2 linked regions of the Nothobranchius furzeri genome follow. The protein of the gene in region 2 binds, or shares a complex with, the protein of the main gene of each other region. Links are inferred from orthologs where the notes say so. Each region holds a gene or a part of one and is shown on either strand. Other genes may lie near its edges.

The links.
Region 1: cyfip2 (region 2) and brk1 share a complex: the UniProt entries of both Homo sapiens proteins name them as parts of the WAVE1 complex. The link is inferred for Nothobranchius furzeri from reciprocal best matches to the Homo sapiens genes CYFIP2 and BRK1.

What each region holds. Positions count from the first base shown.
Region 1 is NC_091743.1:65,723,074-65,728,915, forward strand, and holds brk1 (probable protein BRICK1), read right to left. Parts: upstream 3,010-5,842; 5' UTR 2,953-3,009; coding exon 2,835-2,952; intron 2,463-2,834; coding exon 2,380-2,462; intron 2,310-2,379; coding exon 2,283-2,309; 3' UTR 1,844-2,282; downstream 1-1,843. Other genes in the region: rbm5 (RNA-binding protein 5), read right to left, coding at 90-121. UniProt on the Homo sapiens protein: Involved in regulation of actin and microtubule organization. Part of a WAVE complex that activates the Arp2/3 complex. As component of the WAVE1 complex, required for BDNF-NTRK2 endocytic trafficking and signaling from early endosomes.
Region 2 is NC_091742.1:50,720,968-50,727,458, forward strand, and holds part of cyfip2 (cytoplasmic FMR1-interacting protein 2), read right to left. Parts: coding exon 6,391-6,491; intron 6,316-6,390; coding exon 6,227-6,315; intron 6,115-6,226; coding exon 5,877-6,114; intron 5,790-5,876; coding exon 5,637-5,789; intron 5,551-5,636; coding exon 5,411-5,550; intron 5,292-5,410; coding exon 5,144-5,291; intron 4,403-5,143; coding exon 4,249-4,402; intron 4,071-4,248; coding exon 3,914-4,070; intron 3,843-3,913; coding exon 3,746-3,842; intron 3,672-3,745; coding exon 3,595-3,671; intron 3,490-3,594; coding exon 3,381-3,489; intron 3,278-3,380; coding exon 3,158-3,277; intron 1-3,157. UniProt on the Homo sapiens protein: Involved in T-cell adhesion and p53/TP53-dependent induction of apoptosis. Does not bind RNA. As component of the WAVE1 complex, required for BDNF-NTRK2 endocytic trafficking and signaling from early endosomes.

The DNA.
Region 1 (5,842 bases), on a different chromosome or scaffold from region 2:
CTTTATCGCAATCGGTACATACAATGGTTAAGGAAGAGACGGCCGGGATACCACGCATCTGCTCCGACTTCCGTCACAGATGAACGTACCTTTTATCAGCTCCCATTTTCTCCGAAGACATGAGTATACTCCCGCAACAGCTGCCTGAAACACAAAGACAAGAAAACAACATTTTTATTTCAACTTTCGGCCATTTCGTTCACTGCTCAAGATCAACGTCACATCTTAAAGCCAGACGTGGTTAAAAAACACACACAATAATGACTGTTAAACGTAAAATGGACACCGCTTCTGCGTTACGCAAATAACGCCGATGAGTCCATGGACAACCTGCAGTTCGCTTCAAGTGTAATTAAACAAAAACTTACCAAATTATGTTCTTCTGTCGCCGGAAAATGCAAAAAAAAGTTTCTTTATTGAACCATTCAGTAAATTGTGGGATGAAATTACATCTGACTTTGGAGAAACGTTCTCAGCTCGACGCCAGAACCTTCTTTATCCCACAATGCATCGGGGGCAGAACAGGGTGGGCATTCATTGGGTTAAAATATTCCCTGAGTTTGCCTTACAGGCAGTCCTGAATTCCAGTCGGTTTGTTTCCAACAATAACAAATTCGATGTTGACTTCGATATGATTTATGCCATGAGTAAAATTAATATTTTAGTACGTTTTTATGCATATCATTAATTAATTATCCTTATGTTAATCTAAACTTGGATAAGAAATTTCAGAAGTATGCCTGAACGGTAAGTTTCAGGGCAAAATTTACCCAGTTATCAAAATCCGCCATTTTGCAATTTTGGGTGATACTTGTCTTTAACTTCTCGACGTTTTCACGATAGTTTATGGTTAACCAAATAAATAGTTCCCAGTCAGTTTACACAGGGTAGACAGCATACTTCGATGAGATACTATAAATACTACTTTATTTACTCTTAAACGCACATAAATGTACAGCTGTCGAGAGAGAGAGAGAGAGAGAGAGAGAGAGAGAGAGAGAGAGAGAGAGAGAGAGAGAGACCTGCCCCAAATGGAGGAGTTTAAGTGTATGGTCTTGTTCACGAGTGAGGGAAAACTGGAGTGTGAGATAGATAGGCAGATTGGTGCTGCATCTGCAGTGATGCGAGTGTTGTACCGGTCTGTCGTGGTGAAGAGAGAGCTGTCAGAAGGCAAAGCTCTCAATTTACCAGATGATCTACGTTCCTACCCTCACCTATGGTCATGAGTTTTGGGTAGTGACGGAAAGAACAAGATCGCGGATACAAGCGGTTGAAATGAGTTTTCTCCGCAAAGTGGCTGGGCTCTCCCTTAGAGATAGGGTGAGAAGCTTGGTCATCCGGGAGGGGCTCTGAGTATACCCGCTGCTCCTCCACATCGAGAGGAGCCAGTTGAGGTGGCTCGGGCATCTGGTCAAGATGCCTCCCTGCTGAGGTTTTCCGGGCACGTCCAACCGGGAGGAGACCTAAAGGTAGACCTAGAACACGTTGGAGGGACTATGTCTCACCTGGCCAGGAAACGCCTTGGGAATTCCCCCGGAGGAGCTGGCCGAATTGGCTGGGGGAGAGGGAAGTCTGGGCCTCTCGCCTTAGGCTACTGCCCCCGCGACCCGACTCCGGATGAAAATGGATAGATATATTCAATTATTTTTCTTAATATTGGTTCACATTAATGTAAGTGGACTTTTTCGATACACATAACCAATGCATCTAACTTATCTATGCAACAAACTATCTTTGATGTTTGTTTACTTGACAGATGTTTTAGTAGCTTTTGTTCACACTTAGCCATTGAATTAAATTTAAACACCAAATGGAGTACTTAAAATAAGATGAAAATCAAGTATTATCATCGTATAGCTTTTATTTCAGTATTTAAAGTCTGAAACCTTACCAAACAGGCAAATAAAGGAGACTAGACAATGTTAAACTTGGCACACATGAATGTTCCCTCTTTATGTCTCTGATTTAGTAATGGCATACTGTATATATACTGCTGACAATAGATTCACAACTTAGTCCCAGAATATCTTTTGAATACTTATGGAGATCAATTTTAAATCTAATGATGGTGTTTGTGCCACTAATACAGAATCTGTTTCATGTTTTTATATATATTTTACAAATGTGCCATGAGATAAAAACACAAAACTCAGTCACATAATATAAAAATGGTCCACATAATCCCCAAAACAGGACAGTGGAGTCCAGCACATTTAGTCCAAAATAATTCAGGGTAAAGGGTGGGGAAGTAGTTAGATATTAAGGATCCTCATGATGGAAGTCTAGGTCAAGGTTTCTCCTTTCGTCACCTGAAAAGAGATATAATTGCTTGATTAAATCACTCAAAACAATGCATCTAACTGTGATTCTTCTACTTACTCTTGCTTCTATATATTCGATCCTTCTTTCCAGTGCTGTCAACTTCTCGTTTAGAGTGGCCAGGCGGGACCGACAAGACATATCTGTTTGGGTTAAAATTTATTTTGAATGTTAGTTTGGTATATCAACGATACAACTGTAGGGAGCACTGATTGAAGATGAACTTCACTGGTAGCTATTGTGTTCCTAAAGATGTGGCAGAGCTTCGACACTTGAATTAATAAATATAATAAACTAAGCAAACGCAATTCTCCTTTGAAATATCATTACCCTTTAAAACAAAGCGATTAGCTCGGTGCTAATGTCCGAGCTAGCTGGGAGTGGCCATTTAAAAACATCAACATCAGTGTTAGCAGCAGCCCGACAGCTAGCTTCTCTAGCTAGCGCGACCTTCCAGCTCAAATATTTCTACAACACAGCGGTCGAATCCTTTGTAGCTTTTCCTAAAAGCTCACCGAACGAGTTGAGAAAGTCTGCGATTTTCTTGATGCTGCTTGTTATGACCTCTATGTACTCTCGATTCGCCCAGTCTTGGTGGATCTCCCTCTGAACGGGGTCTTCCTGGCCAGCCATGTTAGCAGTTTTGTCGTTGCAGAAGCTTTCATCCAGGAAGCGCCATCGGGCGTAAACTGGGCACGAGATTTAGCGAGATTCATAATTATCAATAAAATATTGCTTTTTATTTCGCTCGGTTCAAACACTGTATGTAAAAGTGAAGATTATTTTGTCAATTTTCAAATTTAGAATATAAAGAAAAACCCAGAAAATGAAATTTATACATATATATATATAGTTTTGACAGAAAAAATATTTAAAAAACATCTAAAAACAAAGACAAAAAATCTAGTTGAGAAAGTTAATCTATTAAAGTTATTTAACTATTTTATGCACATGTGCATACGCCACAGACTACACATTGTTGTCTATGATGCAAACACACATAAGGTTTTACGAACGTGTGGCTGAGGTGTCTCATGTGATAAGCCCAGGTTTGTTTTGGGACCAGTGAACCTCAATTGGCTCCTAAAGGTAGCACCTTGTGGCAGCGTTGTATAAATGTGAGAATAAGAAACATTAAAAATACCTTCTGAATCTAACAATCATAGGAGATGTTTTATTCTCCAGAAGTAATTTTCAATAATCTGTAGTTTTTATGGTTTGATGCATCATGTAAAGAAAAACCCTCAATGCAAATGCTTCTATTTAAATGCCAAAAAGTAAAATTGAAATGAGATAAAGATATAGTTGCCTACATTTGTCGGACACCAAAGAAAATCTAGGATTTATATGTGCGTTTTATAAATGTAATTTTAAAAAGTGTTTGATAAAAGATGTTTATTTCATTTTTTCAACTAATATTCCAATTGCAGTACAGTCAGGGGTAAATACAGACATTTACATCTTTATCAGAGTCTCCCTACACAAAAAGGTTTGCAGGAGCCTCATCATTAAGTAAATGGGTTGAAAAACCAAGTATATACCACTGAAAATTTCACAATATTTGGACTGTGGCAATTAATTCAACTGTGAGCAGGAAAGCAAGAAGAAATACCCGAAACGCCTGGGTCTACAGATAAGCATTACAAAGCCAGTGTGGTCACGACAGATATCTTTCACTGCCAGCAATAGTAATGTTGTAGCACATTTTACTTGATCCTCCTTTTCAGTAGCTCCTTAATATCTTCCTCAATATCTATGGTGAGGAAGTTTCTGCTGTAGCGCTTGAAAGGCTCCCCATCAGCTCCGATCAGGAATTTCTCAAAATTCCAGGATATGTCGGTCCTGCACACAGGACTCCAGATGATGAACTTTGGATCGGTCATGAGGGCCGTGGCATTGTCGCTGGGGGTTGGGAGCGTCTCCTTAAGGTACACAAACAAGGGATGAGCAGCTTTTCCATTGACGTCTACCTTCTCCAGGAGCTGGAACTTGGGTTCAAAGCCATTCCCTGGGCGGACATACTTTAGGGATCTCAGGATCTCATCATTTTTGGCATTCTCCTATTGTGCAAATCGAAATATTTAAATACATTAAAGTAGCATGAATTTAAATGTGGAAGCACCTTTGATTCTAAACCACTCTACTAATTCACTTTCCTTAACCCTTCTACAAGTAACAAAAACAAGTACTGTGCATTATTTGTTTCTCCGTATATCTACTGGAACTTACCTGGTGCCCAAACTGATTGCAGGGCACACCCAGGATAACGAGTCCCTCTGCGGAATAGCGAGAATGAAGCTCGTTCATCTGAGTGTAATCCCTGATTGTTGTTCCTCAGAGAGATGCCACGTTCTCAATGAGAACGACTTTCCCTTTAAGTGTGGAGAAATTAAAAGCTTCACCAGTCAGCAGATTAGCTGTAAGGTTGTAAAACTTTTTCAAGTTTTGGGCCATGTTTGCGATATCTTGTAAATCGCACGAAGGTGTGTACGCGCGCTCTTCCTGTTAACAAGTTGGCTTAAAGTCCAACCTTCGCCTAGAAGTGCTCCCACCCACTCAAGACTACGCTACTGGGTCTGCTCTGTTTATACACCGGCACACACAGCGGGGGCACAGCTGATTGGCCTTGGATTGGAGTTTAACCGGACGACGCACCGGTAAAGCTACAAGGAACGAAACATAAAAAAGTCATCGTTTTATGTCATTTCGTCCAAAACATCAAGACTAAAAGAATAATCAATGTGATCCTAGAATTCCAAAATCACTGTTCTTCTGATAGCGAGAAATACACAAGCAGTAAATTGTAATTAATTTTTCCCTAACTTTACCGCCATTTTGGGTTATTCTTAATTTGGCATGCCTCCATCAACCAACAGCCACACACACACACAGACAAAACCTTAAACATTTTAAATAATTATTGGTTTAAACACTACCTAACACAATACATTAATAAACGTATATATTGATAAATGTATTCATACAAATAACCAATTTACCATTTAGTATATATTTATTTCACTATTGCCATTCTGATACTCACCCCTATCTTGGTAAAAGTGGTACATTCCAGGAAGTTCTGTGTGAGCTGGTGTTTTGCCCTTAGAGGAAAACTAACCTAGCCTAGTGTACTAGACCAAATTCTTTCTTTGCAAAGTTTGGTCTAGGCACGCTCCATTGGAACCACCACAATAATAAATTTATTTAGTCTGGCTTGCCAGGCTAAAACTGACCATTTTTAATCACGCGCAGGCTTTGTAAATAAGGAGCAAAACGCATTTTAGACACGTTGCTTCCTGTAGGAAATGACAGTGTTCAAGGGCGTCAGTTTGTTTTCAGAATTGCTGGGGACAATAACCATACACTTGAGTGGGGTTTAAAAATTGCTGGGGACAATAAAGTAGGCTAGCACAGGGGTCGGCAACCCGTGGCTCTGGAGCCGCATGCGGCTCTTCCATCCATCTGATGCGGCTCTCTGTGCTTGTAAAATAATGAGTGGATATTTAAATAAAAAGCTTTATAT
Region 2 (6,491 bases):
AAAATGGCAGCATTCTATTTTTCTGTGAATAAATTCGCTCTGCAGTTAAAAAAATACTTCATTCATTGCTGGTTTTTTTCTAACTGGAGAGAGCATTTTCAGAGCGGCAGATTTAATTTACAAACGCTATATTAACTGGGGGCGTTTATTTAATCTGCCGCTCTGAAAATGCGCGCTGCAGTTAGAAAATTAGAATGCTGCTTTTTTTTCTAATTGCACAAGAGCGCATTTTCAGAGCAGATTAAATTTACAAACGCATCCAATTAATATAGTGTTCGTAAATTTCATCTGCCGCTCGAAAAATACGCTCTGTTAGAAAAAAAGCTGCATTGATGCAGTTTTTCTTTCTTTCTTTCTTTTTTTTTTTTTTTAACTGCAGAACGCTTCTCACAGACAATTAGAATGCTGAGCATTCTATCACGCTAAAACATTATGAAAGTTAAAAAAAAAGTCGGGCTCGGGTCGGGCCAGAGAATCCTGAAAACCTTTTCAGACCGGGTCGGGCTGGGGCTCCACCCCCTCGGGCCGGGCCGGACACGGGCTCAGATTTTAGGCCCGTGCAGGGCTCTAATTCTGTGGTGCTGATCAAAATAAATCATCTGATATTGTACAGGTCCTTCTCAAAAAACTAGCCTATTGTGATAAAGTTCATTATTGTCTGTAATGTACTGATAACCGTTAGACTTTCATATATATTAGATTCATTACACACAACTGAAGGTGTTGAAGCCTTTTATTGTTTCTAATATTGATGATTTTGGCATACAGCTCATGAAAACCTAAAATTCCTATCTCAATAAATTAGCATATTTCATCCGACCAATAAGAGAAAAGTGTTTTTAACACAAAAAAGTCAACCTTCAAATAATTATGTTCAGTTATGCACTCAGTACTTGGTCGGGAATCCTTTTGCAGAAATGACTGCTTCAATGTGGCGTGGCATGGAGGCAATCAGCCTGTGGCACTGCTGAGGTGTTATGGAGGCCCAGGATGCTTCGATAGCGGCCTTAAGCTTATCCAGAGTGTTGGGTCTTGCGTCTCTCAACTTTCTCTCCACAATATCCCACAGGTTCTCTATGGGGTTCAGGACAGGAGAGTTGGCAGGCCAATTGAGCACAGTAATACTATGGTCAGTAAACCATTTAGCAGTGGTTTTGGCACTGTGAGCCAGGTCGTGCTGAAAAATGAAATCTTCATCTCCATAAAACTTTTCAGCAGATGGAAGCATGAAGTGCTCCAAAATCTCCTGATAGCTAGCTGCATTGACACTGCCCTTAGTAAAACACAGTGGACCAACACCAGCAGCTGACATGACACCCCAGACCATCACTGACTGTGGGTACTTGACACTGGACTTCAGGCATGTTGGCATTTCCCTCTGCCCAGTCTTCCTCCAGACTCTGGCACCTTGATTTCTGAATGACATGCAAAATTTGCTTTCATCCGAAAAAAGTACTTTGGACCACTGAGCAACAGTCCAGTGCTGCTTCTCTGTAGCCAAGGTCAGGTGCTTCTGCCGCTGTTTCTGGTTCAAAAGCGGCTTGACCTGGGGAATGCGGCACCTGTAGCCCATTTCCTGCACACGCCTGTACACGGAGGCTCTGGATGGTTCTACTCCAGACTCAGTCCACTGCTTCCGCAGGTCCCCCAAGGTCTGGAATCGGCCCTTCTCCACAATCTCCCTCAGGGTCCGGTCACCTCTTTTCGTTTTCTGCCACACTTTTTCCTTCCCACAGACTTCCCACTGAGGTGCCTTGATACAGCACTCTGGGAACAGCCTATTCGTTCAGAAATGTCTTTCTGTGTCTTACCCTCTTGCTTGAGGGTGTCAATGATGGCCTTCTGGACAGCAGTCAGGTCGGCAGTCTTACTCATGATTGCGGGCTGGGTGTTTTTAAAAGCCTCAGGAATCTTTTGCAGGTGTTTAGAGTTAATTAGTTGATTCAGATGATTAGGTTAATAGCTTGTTTAGAGAACATTTTCATGATATGCTAATTTTTTGAGATAGGAATTTTAGGTTTTCATGAGCTGTATGCCAAAATAATCAATATTAGAAACAATAAAAGGCTTGAACTACTTCAGCTGTGTGTAATGAATCTAATATATATGTAAGTCTAATGTTTATCAGTACATTACAGACAATAATGAACTTTATCACAATATGCTAATTTTTTGTGAAAGACCTGTATATATAGAAATTAATCAAATCTTCAAATTTAATCCCAAAAAGTGGGAGATTTCAGACATTTCCAATATAAAAGATCAAAAGAATTTTATCATCTAAAAATAGCCCCTTTCACAACCAACTGAATGCAGAACTGCCAACCTTGTCAAAATTTTTTGAGTACCACCTGTGCGGCATTTTTTTCGCGCACTTTTGCAACTCCATTGCTTTTCACGCTGTAATCTCCCCATTCACCGGATGGAAAATTTTTCACACACACACACACACTCACACTTTACCTTACGAGAACAGCAGCGAGTGGCGAACCGGAGGGAGAGAGGAGCAGGACGAAGCAGAGAGGAGGGTGCGGGGGTGTTACGCTAGGTTAGGCAGGACAGTTTTTCTCTGCTTTTCTACGATGATTGGTTTAAACTTCTTCACCGCGCCGCTGAGCCGTGTTTTTCAGACATGAGTACCACACATGCATATTTGCCACAGAACTCAACTCACGTGCTTTTTGCGTAGTTTAGAGGGGTGAGTCGTACCATGCGTAAAGGTTGGCCGAACGTGTAACGTTCCGCTTACGCCAACATCATACACAAAAGTGCTGAACACTAACTAGAAATTCACGAAAATTTTATAGAAATAAAAGAATCTTGTTTATTGGGTCTTTGGTAATTTAAGACCTTTGGAAACTGTATTTAAGGATTATTTGTCATTTTTAAGGATTTTTAATGCCTTAAATTTGGAAAAGCAAAATTAAAACTTTTTAAGGACCAGTGGATACCCTGAGCTCTATGTTTGTTAGCCATGACGATAGATTTAGCTCTGTTTATTGACAGCAAGTAGATAAACAACTGCGGTCAACGGGGACGTGCAGGCATCTTGCCCTCCAGCCAGGGGCGGGTGTGTGGGCATGTGATGTCATGCTGCAATGGGTCTATGGGCCTTAATATGTTGTCCTAAAAGTGAATGCCATCTTGCTCCTCTTACCACAATGGAGGTGAGATCCTCACTCTCAAAGCGACTGATGGCGTGGTCCAGAGACTTGTACATCGCTGCAGAGATCCTCTGAGTGATCAGACGGTTCAGGTCAATCGATCGACCCAGTAGCTGAAAAATCACCAAGATCAAACTGAAACTAAACACATTCACTGAAATTAAAATGTCCTAAAATCATGTCCCATCAGATGAGCAGCAGAGAGTTGTCATGTACCTGTACGTGTCTCTGTTTGAGCAGCGTCTCATAACGGTTCGACGGAGGATACGGGATGATGACGCCGTAGTTTTTACACTCTGCTCTGAAGCGCTTGTCTAGCAGGACGCTGTGAAGCACATTAAAATTGGATTCAGGAGAAAATGTTCATAAATATGGCTGCAACTCCTGACAGTAACTTCAAAACATATAAGGAGCAAGTGCATTCCTCTACCTTCCAGCCATTGCTTTGTAGTAGGCAAAAATCTGATCTGCCAACTTGTAAACAAACTGATCAAAGCAGAGGTTTACCTACAAACAGGAAAAACAGGATCAATTTTTGACTTCTGAACCAGTTTGAGAATCACAGAGGCATTCAGCCATACCTCGGCTTCAATTTCATCATACAGAAACTGTTTTTTGAACTTGGTGAGGGCGTAATAGCCGCTGTCGTTATACAAGTCTAGAGGGTACAGGACGTATCTGCAAGAACAACAGTAAAAATTAGGATCCTGCTGGTGCTTAAAAAAAAATACTTATCTGATTTAACTTACTCCATCATGGAAGGCTCTTTGGTCTCCAGGATGTGGTCGGTCAAGATCCAGGGCATGGACATCTCAATGGGGAACTGGATTCTGCGACCCATGGTTAGCTCCAGGAAGAACTCTCTAAACCACAGCTGGGACAGGTCACAGCACTGCTGCAGGGCCTCTGATCAGACAACAGACAGGAAGTGACCCACTTAAAAGTCAACAGATCATTAGAGCAGAAGTTTGCTGCCACGGTGATGTATTGCTCCTGACTGAAACTTGGCTAAATAAGTTGAGTACAAAACTAAACCTAGAGTTATGAGTTATACAAAACTTATACTGAAGTTATAAAAACTCACCACTGAAGTTGAGCAAGTGTGTGAAGAAGAAGGATTGCTTATGGAAGTCTTCTATGGCTACCACGATGGGTCCATCAAGGCTGCTGCGGAGAGTCTTCTTAGATCCACTTTTATCTGCGATCAGTGACTCCAGCATGGTGCGTACCATGTACAGCTAGAGGGGACAGGAAACCAACAAATGCATCAAAAAGACCAGATCTCTGTCTAGAAAGACCTTCAGAGTTTCAAGTTTCCTTTGGAGACGCCATAAAGATTGTTGGTCCAACTGCCCCTCTTCCACTAGCACACCGTAAGCTTGGTTCCAAGACTTTCCCACTTTTAACAGGAATTAGTAATTGCTGTTCTGAGATGCCTTCGTTATCCAAAATCCTAAATCCCCCTCAGGACAGAGTCAGAAAAACAATCCTAGAAAGCTCTGTAAGTATCTACGCTACTTCAACTAAATAATTCCTGATGGTGGGACGACGTTGGCTCAGGAGTTAAGTGCTCACCCTGTAATCGGAAGGTTACACAGGTTCGAGCCCCGCACAGCCTGTCGCTGTCTTTGTGTCCTTGGGCAAGACACTAAAGCCACCTCGCTGCTGGTGGTGGTCGGAGGGACCAGTGGGGCCTGTGTGCGGCAGACTCGCCTCTGTCAGTGCGCCCCAGAGCAGCTGTGGCTACAGTGTAGCTCATCCCCACCAGGGTGCAAATGTGTGTGTGAATGGGTGAATGACTGTGTTGTAAAGCGCCTTGGGGGGTTCCAGGACTCTAGAAGGTGCTGTGTCAAATACAGGCCATTTACCCAAAGGGAAAAACATCCATTTAAATCTCGTAAAAGTCCAGTTTTTTGTCTCCCAACACAAAAAGACAGAAACATCCAGAAAGACTTCCTGTCGTTCCTCCTAGGTCTTACCTGTGTGCTGGAGGGTCCCACGGCTCGTCGAGGCACCTTAATGTCAAAGCCGCCCTTCGGGTCCTTCTCCCCCCTCAGGCAGGGGTCATTTGGAGGCTCTCTTCCGCCTTCCCAATCACAGACAGTCTTCCGAATGGCCTGAAGAACACTGTTCAGAAAGGATAATACTTAATCCAGGAAATTCAGATGACAAATGAAGTAATTACACAACTGCTTCTGTTATTCTGCTACAGAAAGGAAACGCAATCGTTCTGATGCTACGAGTACCTAATGAGGACATTCTTCTTCTTGCGTACAGCCTGGCGTAGAGGCTCTCTGAGGGTCACCTGGGCAAAGTCCTGCAGAGCTGCATAGATTGTGTTCCTTATGGCCTGGTTAAACACCGACTCCATCCGACCCATCAGGACCTAAACACACAGAAAGAGCAGCTTTACAAATGCCTTGCTTGAGCTTTTATTAGAATTTCTTTTACATGCCAAGTTTCACGTTTGACCTGCAGCCCTTTGATCATGGCGATGACCTCCACCAGAGCAAACTTCTCCTCGCTGGTGTAGTTGTAGCGCGTGGCGCGCTCATACTCCTCCGCCGTTCCTGGGCAGTCTTTGTTGCAGAATTTATCCGTGGGATGAACCAGCTTCCAAGAGTACTGACAGTTGAAAGTAGATCATAACAAGAGCCATCAGCGGCAAAACCAATTACAATCTCCTCCACTCTGAGTTCCTCTTTCACTCACAACTTCCATGACGTGTGTGCTCCACTTGGACAGCAGCTGCAGACCCCTCAGAGACAGGTCGAACAGCTCCCGGTACTCATCGTCGGACTTCTGGCTGTCCAGGCCCGAGCCTGTCACCACCTCGTTGTTGCTGTAGCGCGCCAGCTCCGAGATGAAGCGGATGTGGTCGTCCCTGATCTGCACCATCTGCTCACACAGGTTGTACTGTGGCGAGATGCTGCTCTGGGTGCACGTCCACCTGTGCAAAGACGAGACAAAGATGGAGCAGACAGCACGGCGAGGAATCTTTTCTATTAGTTTTTCTACGCTTGTTGAGGGGTTTTATTCGAGAGTGGACCATATTGCTTTACCTAGACTTGTTTTCTTCGTAGTGAGCACTTGTTTCAATATAGCGAGATAACTCGATCTGCATGTCTCCAAATAAAGGCACAACCTGCAGCTAAAGAACAAAAACACATCTGGATACCTGCTGTACTCTTTAGTTGGATTAAACGAGTCCAAAACAAAAGTTTACTTTAAAGAATTTGTCAATCTTGCTCAGGTTGATCCGCTTCTTGGCGTCCAGTTTGTAGATATTACTCACATTCCCATCCATCAGGTACAATCCAAAGCCCA